2 linked regions of the Drosophila melanogaster genome follow. The protein of the gene in region 2 interacts with the protein of the main gene of each other region in a pairwise test. Each region holds a gene or a part of one and is shown on either strand. Other genes may lie near its edges.

What was found.
Region 1: the proteins of Ets97D (region 2) and St4 interact in a two-hybrid assay, tested with the Drosophila melanogaster proteins (one large-scale study listed by BioGRID).

What each region holds. Positions count from the first base shown.
Region 1 is NT_033778.4:13,969,373-13,972,904, forward strand, and holds St4 (sulfotransferase 4), read right to left. Parts: upstream 1,892-3,532; 5' UTR 1,756-1,891; coding exon 1,671-1,755; intron 1,604-1,670; coding exon 1,369-1,603; intron 1,314-1,368; coding exon 982-1,313; intron 933-981; coding exon 544-932; 3' UTR 538-543; downstream 1-537. Other genes in the region: PheRS-m (Phenylalanyl-tRNA synthetase, mitochondrial), read left to right, coding at 1-230, 300-467; CG18568 (uncharacterized protein), read right to left, coding at 2,301-3,305.
Region 2 is NT_033777.3:26,910,248-26,914,827, forward strand, and holds Ets97D (Ets at 97D), read right to left. Parts: upstream 2,640-4,580; 5' UTR 2,514-2,639; coding exon 2,450-2,513; intron 2,373-2,449; coding exon 2,258-2,372; intron 2,197-2,257; coding exon 2,127-2,196; intron 2,072-2,126; coding exon 1,357-2,071; intron 1,296-1,356; coding exon 865-1,295; coding exon of another isoform or gene 805-864; 3' UTR 528-804; downstream 1-527. Other genes in the region: T48 (transcript 48), read left to right, coding at 1-220.

The DNA of each region.
Region 1 (3,532 bases), on a different chromosome or scaffold from region 2:
TCGATATACCTGACATCCGGCTCTTCTGGTCGAACGACAGTGGCTTTCTGTCGCAGTTTAGCGAAAAGGATCTGCACAATCTGCCCAAGTACAAGCCCATCTCCCACTATCCGCAGTGCACGAATGACTTGTCGTTCTGGCTGCCCCAGGACATTGAGGTGGATGCCGGCTTCTCGCCGAACGACTTTTACGATCTAGTCCGCTCTGTAGCTGGTGATATGGTGGAGCAGGTTGGTCTTAGCTATCCCAAACGTATCATATGTTACGAGTATTTCTCATATACTTTACTTTTCTTACAGATCAGTCTGGTGGACAAGTTTAAGCACCCGAAAACGGGGAAATCGAGCGTGTGCTTCCGCATTGTTTATCGCCATATGGAGCGCACCTTAACCCAGGCGGAGGTCAACGAAATCCACAAGCAGATCGCTAGTGCGAGCGTGGATAGTTTCAATGTGCAAATACGTTAGTCATAGTCTAGTTCCGTTTCAATTCAAAACCAAAAAAGAAAAACACCAGTAAAGATAGCCAACAAAGTCAGGTATTTCATATGGTCTTGAATGATTTAATATTCTGTTCCACCCACTCGTTGGCGCTCTTCAAAAGCTTCGGATTCTCCACGAACTCCTGTTGCGGCTGATACGCTGTCTTGGCTCCGCTGCGCACGAATCCTGCCTCTCCTTTGTTGAGAACGCCAACGGAAGCCATTTCGTGCATGTTTACGGACTTGTTCTCACGGAAGCTTCTGATGCTCAGATGATCGAGTAGCCTATCCATATCCTCGGGTTTCGGTGGACACTCTAAGAAGCTGGCTATGCTGTTGATTGCACCTGGCAGATCAGCCAACATGTCTTCGTAGCGCAGAAAGAGTACATTGGACAAATGGGCATGCTCCCGCGCCTCCTTAACGTGACTGTAATAGGGCAGCCAGGGATCTGAAAGATAGTTGGTTAAGGATGGCAACTCCATCGAAGGATCACTTACTTAATCCGTTTTGGAAATAATGCCAGTAACGCTCAAAATCTCCGACGTATCCTTGGGTGCGGAAGAGTCTGTTCAAATGGTAGTAGGAAACTGCAACATCCTTGGGATCACGAACCACATAGATCACCTTGCACTTCTTTTCGAGAACACTAGGCGGCATTAGAGAAAAGGGGAAATGCGTTTTGATAAACCGTCGCTGCGAGCGTGGTATTTCGCTCAAAGCCTCGTAACCCGGTCGAGCTATCTTCTCAATGAACTCCAGAGCTTCAGCCGAGTCTCGGTTTTCCTCCTGCAGCTCTTCCTTAATTTTGGGATGCACAAAGAGCGGAAATCTAAGGGCGGTTGGAGTTCACTTAATTAAGATAGGATCGCGCGACAAGCACTCACTCAAAGAATGGAAAGCGTTCGGTTAGTGGTCGCTCCTGGGCATGCTCAAAATCCAGCCCATTGGCCACCAGCCAAATGAGCTCCTGCGTCCAAGTGGTGCCCGATCTGGGCACCGTGGCTATCCACACGTCATCCGGCCGTGCCTCAAAGTTGTAGTACCGCTCGGCCTCGTCCTTGTACTTGTGCGGAAAGAAGTAACCCTCCGATCCGACCTGAACGAAGCCAGTTCGCTCACCTGTTTTTTTTTTTTTATTTTTTATATACTAGGTGCATCACAAGCCATTTGCGCGCTATAAACATACCATGGAAGTGATCCAATAGCTCAGCATTGGTGGACTCCTCCACATCGCGAATTTCGTGTGGAAACTTGAGAGGCGTATTTTCCATTGCTCGCGCGATCAGTTGCCAGCGTTGACTGAAGAACCGCCCGTCATGAAAGCGTCTTGACCCCGCTTTCGGCCCAGAGAGAAAGTGTCAGCTGCTGGTGCTGGTGCTGGTGCTGGCCTGGCTAGTATGGCACTCCATTGCCGCTTGGCTAAGCTCAATTTAAATACGACTTCAGTTAATGTCTGTGTACTTGCTGACGCTGAATTTTCCCCAAAAGGTGTGGTTCCAAGCCATTAGTTAGCTCAGACGGCTTTTATTGGATCATAAACAGTGGCGATATAATGTTGTTGGAGTAAAATAAGCCTCAAAGTTATAACCTAAATAACCAGTTCTTAAACGTATATATATATATATTCTTGATTTGTATCGGCAGTTAGTCTCAGTTTTGAAGTCCAAAATTCTTTTTTTTTATAGAACATACCACTCATATATCATAAAACCCAAGCACCCATTAAAAGTCATAAATGACCATTGAATTGAAAAGGACTACTACTTTACGTGCACGACACAGACAATTTGATATAGAATTTCCTATAGTTTTTAGATTATTCGTTTAGCTCGACGTTGTCGAAGAGCCTGAGCAGCTCCTCTTCCTTGCGCTTGATGCGATCCTGGATGGTGGACACGGACTCTGATTTGGGCATAGAGTTTTGGACCCGGCTGAAGAAATCGTCCATGGACTTGAAAACGTTCTGATACTGATTATCATAGCGAGCGTACTGGTGCGTTGGTGGCTTCTTGGGCGCCCTCTTGGTCACGGCATTCCGGAACGAGAACTCCTTCAGTTCGTCCAGATGCAGTTCCTCCTGCTGCTCGTGAGCAGCAAACCTGCGCGATGATTGTCGCTCTCTTTCCTCCTTAAGCTCGAGCCGTTCCCGATCTATTTGATCGACCAGCTGCGCGGAGGGGCATACCATCTTCACCTCGCCAAGGATTAGCTTATGATCGAGGATCTCAGACTCATTCGTCTGGACGCCGGTCTCCAGTAGCTGCTGAGACTTGGACGCCTTCGATTCTGACTCCTCCTCGACATCCGGCAAAATATTGGAATCCTCTGGCACTGGCTGCCTATTCTTGCGGAAATTCGAGTTCAAACCCACGCCCGCCGGTTTGCTGGGCCAGAGACGATCCCGTGCCGCCTGTTTGGCCGCTTGCGACATCACACGCTGTTTCGTTGGCTTCCTGACTTCCGTTTCGGTGTCCTTGGCCAAGGGCACCACTAATCTGGACTTCTCATGTCCTCTCGCTCTCTCGAACTTCTGCTTGGCCGTCTGCCTGTTGCTGCTGGCCCTCAGCGAAGAGGCTACCGTGGGCTGGACCAGCCGAGAAGGTGGATTATGCTTGCCAAGGCGACGACCGGTCTGCTTCCAAGCCGCATCGGTTCCCCCATCGCCCGCTCCGCCGTGAACAGTTCGCCGTGTTCCCGCCGTCTGCGTCGATAGAGGTGCCGCTAACTTGGAACGCACTGTGGCCCCGGAGATGGTGTTGGGTCCTCCACCTCGGGGTGTTGAGCCCGCACTTTGCCCACTGCTCCTACCGGCTGAATGCATTACGTCAATGGGTTATTGGTATCCTGCGTTACTGCGGCAGTTGTATATACTTAAAATTTTTAGTTAGCTTTAATACTTTTATTTTTACAAGTTCAATTGTTTGAAATCGGTAACGAAAAACGAATGTACTAAGCCATAGAGCTTAAGGCCCGACACTGAAGTCGTTATAAAGGCCTACTTGGTATGGAATCATACTTATCTAAACCCTTACTCGAAATGCATTCAAA
Region 2 (4,580 bases):
CAGCAGTGCCTCGGCGCAGCAGAAGCTACACCTGTTTGGCTCGCTGATCAGCCTGCACGAGTTCGAGGAGCCGCGGGCTTCGGATCCTTTCGGCAGCAGTTTCAACACGCTGAAGAGCGGCAATCTCATCTCTGATCTCAACGCCAGCTCGCTGTGGCTGGAGGACGAGTTCTACAAGCTGGGCTTTCGACCGCAGGACGAGATCACCACGGAGCTGTAACCGCATCACAAAACTCATACTCAAAACTTAATGCAAACTAAGTATTACCCCGGCTGGCGGCGCTAGCCGTTCGAGTCTAGCGCCAGTTCAGCTGGGGGAATGGAGCATTTGCGTGCACATTCCGACAGGCCATCATCGACTTCGACAAGCTAACTGGGAGGCCGTTTAGCCGGAGCCGCTAAATGCCCACGCTTAGAGCTTAGTTAGATCAGTTAAGCAAGCAAACTAGTCACGTAAAATCACAAACAAAACCATCAACACACAACGATGCCGAGGAGAAGGAGCTAATGCAAATGCAAATGGAAATCGCGTGGAAATGAATTTAGTTTTATGGATTTTACAAAAATCGCAACAATCATGTAACGAACAATATTCAATATACACACTATAGAAATACTATTCAGATAATAACTAAGATGATTAGCAGTATAAACGCGATACTTATAGCTATAGCTTATGTAGACAGAGATTATAAACCTTAGCGAATACGAAATGGATAATAAAATCGTGTGCCTTAGGATTGTAAAATATGTAACAATTTGTATTATTAACCAGGCGCCGTCATCCGACCAAGTCAGCCAACGCTAAGGCTCCTCGTACTTCCAGAGTATGTCGGGTTCCTCCTTGAGCTTCAGCTCGCCATGTCACGTGTCTTCTGTAATTGTTTCCGTTGCGGCTACGCGCTCGGGCGCCGTTTTCCCCTCGCTGACCAGCGTGGATAGCTCATTCGCATCATAGCCGATCAATAGCTTCAAATCGCAGTCAAATTTGTATGCGAATCGCTTGCCGGACACCTTGGAGATCATATCCCCATCGTAATAGTAGCGGAGAGCCCTTGATAGCTTTTCGTAGTTCATAGCGGGTTTGTTTTTCTTCTCGCCCCAAAGGCGTGCCACTCGATCCGGGTCAGTGAGCTTAAATTCTCCCTCGGTGCCCACCCACTCAATAACGTCCGTGTGCTCGCAGTCGGTGAGTATTTCGAGTAGGAACTGCCATAGCTGCACTTGTCCATTATTCCCGGAACCGATGGTAGTGTAGTTTGATGGATTCATGGATGACGTAGTACTTTCAACGGCTGTGAACGAAGTAGATATTGTTAGCTCATGCTTTGGTGTAACATTCACACGTCTACTTACAATCAGAGCTCTTGACTGACTGATAGGATTTCCGCATAATCCGCTGTTCAAGCGAAAGGCTGCCCCCTGAATTGGTCGATATGGAATTGGCCGACATGATTCTTGGTTGCTTGGGCTTACGCTGCTCCTCCGCTCGTTTGTGCACTACGGACACGAAATTACATTCTTTTAGCAGCTGGAGGTGGGTCCAGAAGATGTTGCCTGGATCACGGGGCAGCTTCTGATTGAATTCCTCGTGCGTCATTGCGCAGAGTTCCTGGCCATTCATTTGCCAGTCGCTCATGTTGATGCCAACTAGTTCGAACTGCTTGACGGCCCACTCCAGCCAGTACGTCACGTGTGCGTGTGTCCATTCGTTGGCCGCCTCGGGTATCTTCAGGCGTATTTGTTCTCGCTTAAACTTGCTGTCCAGGACCCAATTCAAGACTGGCTTGACATCCTTGCCCTCGACGGATTCCTCTTCGGAGTCTTCCTTGTGCATGCGCTTGAGTGGGGTTTTGATGGGGCTTTCGCTGGAGGAACTCTTCTGGCTGGCCGTTTCCGGCGGCGAGAGCTGGCCCACCACCTCCTCGGCCAAGGCAGCCAGTGCGGCCTCCGTGGGCTTCAGGACGTCGGCGATGTTAATGCGCTTGCGAATAGTTTGTATCTGCACGTTGATCTGGACCAGGCCTTCTCCCTTGACGCATTGGTCCACGAGATTCTTGTGCGATTCCAGCTGCAGGAGAGTGGGGGCTTAGGTAAACATTTTATTACGCCGCAGATAGACTCACCTCCTGCGCGTCCTGCAGCCAAAACGTGTAGTAATTCAGGCACACTCCTATCTTTTGCTCAACAAGTGATCTGTGGGTAGAAATGAGGGTTATTTGCATGACTAATGGGGGCCAGTCTTCGCCAGACTCACTTGAGCATGCTGAGCGGCTCCCGGATGTCCATGTGCACGATGATGATGTCGTCCGGCTCCGCCTCCGTCTCCACATCGATGCTATCCTCGAACATTTCGCTGGCAATCACTTCTTCTGCAAATTGTTTACAATTAATAATTCGGTGTAACAACAGGTGCGTCCCAATTGGGAAATGGCATCATTCCACTTACCCAGGGCACCGCCAACGCTGAGGCGGCGTATTAGCTCGTCCGACAAGTCATTGCTGCTGTTCATCGCGGCTTAAAATCGCAAATAACTGCCTATATTAACAAAATGTTTTTAACAAATTTGTCTCGTGGATTTATTGTTGCATCTTCAGTGTGACCGTGTACGTCGGGTGTGGCAATACCGAATAATACTAAGTGGCGTTGGTACAGGGCTGCATAGTCACTGGCCAGTATTGCCACCAATTCTATCAGATTTCAAAACTCTGGCGGTTCTTTTAAAAGTGATAAAAGTTTCGAAAAAATGTAAATATGAATGTAAGTTAGCAAGTCTGAAATACAATATTTGCTTTAATGATGAAAAAACTTAATAGCATCATATATATTTAAAGAAAAACATCAATTGTTATTTAGTTTTAAAAGAATACATGATTTTGTTATAGTTTTTACTGGCAAATATTTTGCCAGTTTTGAACTATTTTCAAGTTCCCTTTTCCTGTGTGGAAATTCATTGATCAAAAATTTCTTTCATCACCAGCTATTAATATTTTGAGCCTAACGATCTATAAAAATTAGCAATCTGGTGACAAAATGTGTGCTCGCCCCCTCAAGTGATTTCCTAGAAATGCCATCGAAATTAATTGAGGAATTCAATTCGCAACAACAAGTCGATGCTTAAGACACCCACTTGTGGTTGAGTGGTTTGCTCTTCATGCGATATCTTTTCGCCACTTTCTTTCGCTGCAAGACTCAATTGGCCGACACAATTGGCCATGTTTGTGCGTCGGCCTGACTAGGAAGCACTTGGGTGTTCCCACAGGCAAGTGAAGTGGCCAAGTGCTGCTCATTTTCAGCTAATGCTGATTAAATGCCCCGTAACACGATCAGTGGGTCAAAACGGCGGGACAATGAATGCCAATTGTGCTATGGAGCAGAGGACAGCCTCAAGTGCACAGAGTACTTGTTAACACAAGCGTTTTTCCATGTACCATGTACCGAGATATGGACAAAGACGGCTCCCGGCCTGAATAGTCCGGAGTTGGGAGCATTACCTCATGCTGTTGACTCAGTTGGCATAGTAGATGAACGATATTTGCTTGCGAATATCTTGCTGATGACAATGTTTGATTTTGATTTCGGTATTAGCTATAAGTGATTCAATGTCTGCCACGAATGTTCTGGCACATCATCATCCCCATATTGTGCAACCTTGCAACTTCATTTTCCCCTTTCCGTTTCGTGTCCGAAAACGAGGGAAACTAACAAGCCAGAGTGCGGATTTTGTTTTATTTGGGGACTAACTCTGCTTTGTTTACTTGCCAAGCTGTTGACTAATATTAGCCAGCTGGTCAAATTCAGGCGCTTCAGGTCAGTTTTTTTTTTGGTTTCATTTTGCGTACTTTCCAGCCATTTGAAGTTGAGTCATTGTCAAAGTCGTCTCATTTGGATATTATTAGATGTGAGTGGTAGTGAAATTTCTATCTTTCTTTCTCACCACACAAACCCTTATTACTCATTATATGCTAATGAGGACTTATCTCATTGCACGTTAAGTATACGCCGCATTGACCTTCTGGCAGATAGAAATCTATGCAGACCGAAAATTGTCTAGGTCATGACACCCAGCTGCAATGGGGCAACAAACAGATGAACGAAACCAGCCCAATGACAACGTGGAAAACTCACTCAAAACCGTTAGCGTACATAAAACTATGCGCAGTCATTGTGGCGCCTTTGACTGCCAGAAATTCCCATATATTCGGCTGCCAAGAACCGTCGAAATAAAAACACAAAAAAAAAAAAACAAGAAAAATAAAGGAAAACAACCCCTTGGGGTTTTCGCCTCTGGATTATTTGTCCGCCGAGCGTTCAACTCCACGGAATTGCGTCACTGGATGGCTAGAATTAAATCAATAGGGACAACTCCCACGCTGAGCACCAAAGTGGAGCACCAGAGCCCGGGACTTGGAGAATTTGCATTTCCGTGGCCCATACTGAATGGCCAGTATTTGGGTCGTCTAAGGATTGCTATCGCTATCGCTATTGCTATTGCTGCAAGGACATTTCAAAGGCGGTCGGCGTTTTCGTTTCAGCTTTCTTGCTCTTCGTTTCATAATTTCTGGTTTTTAATTAATTG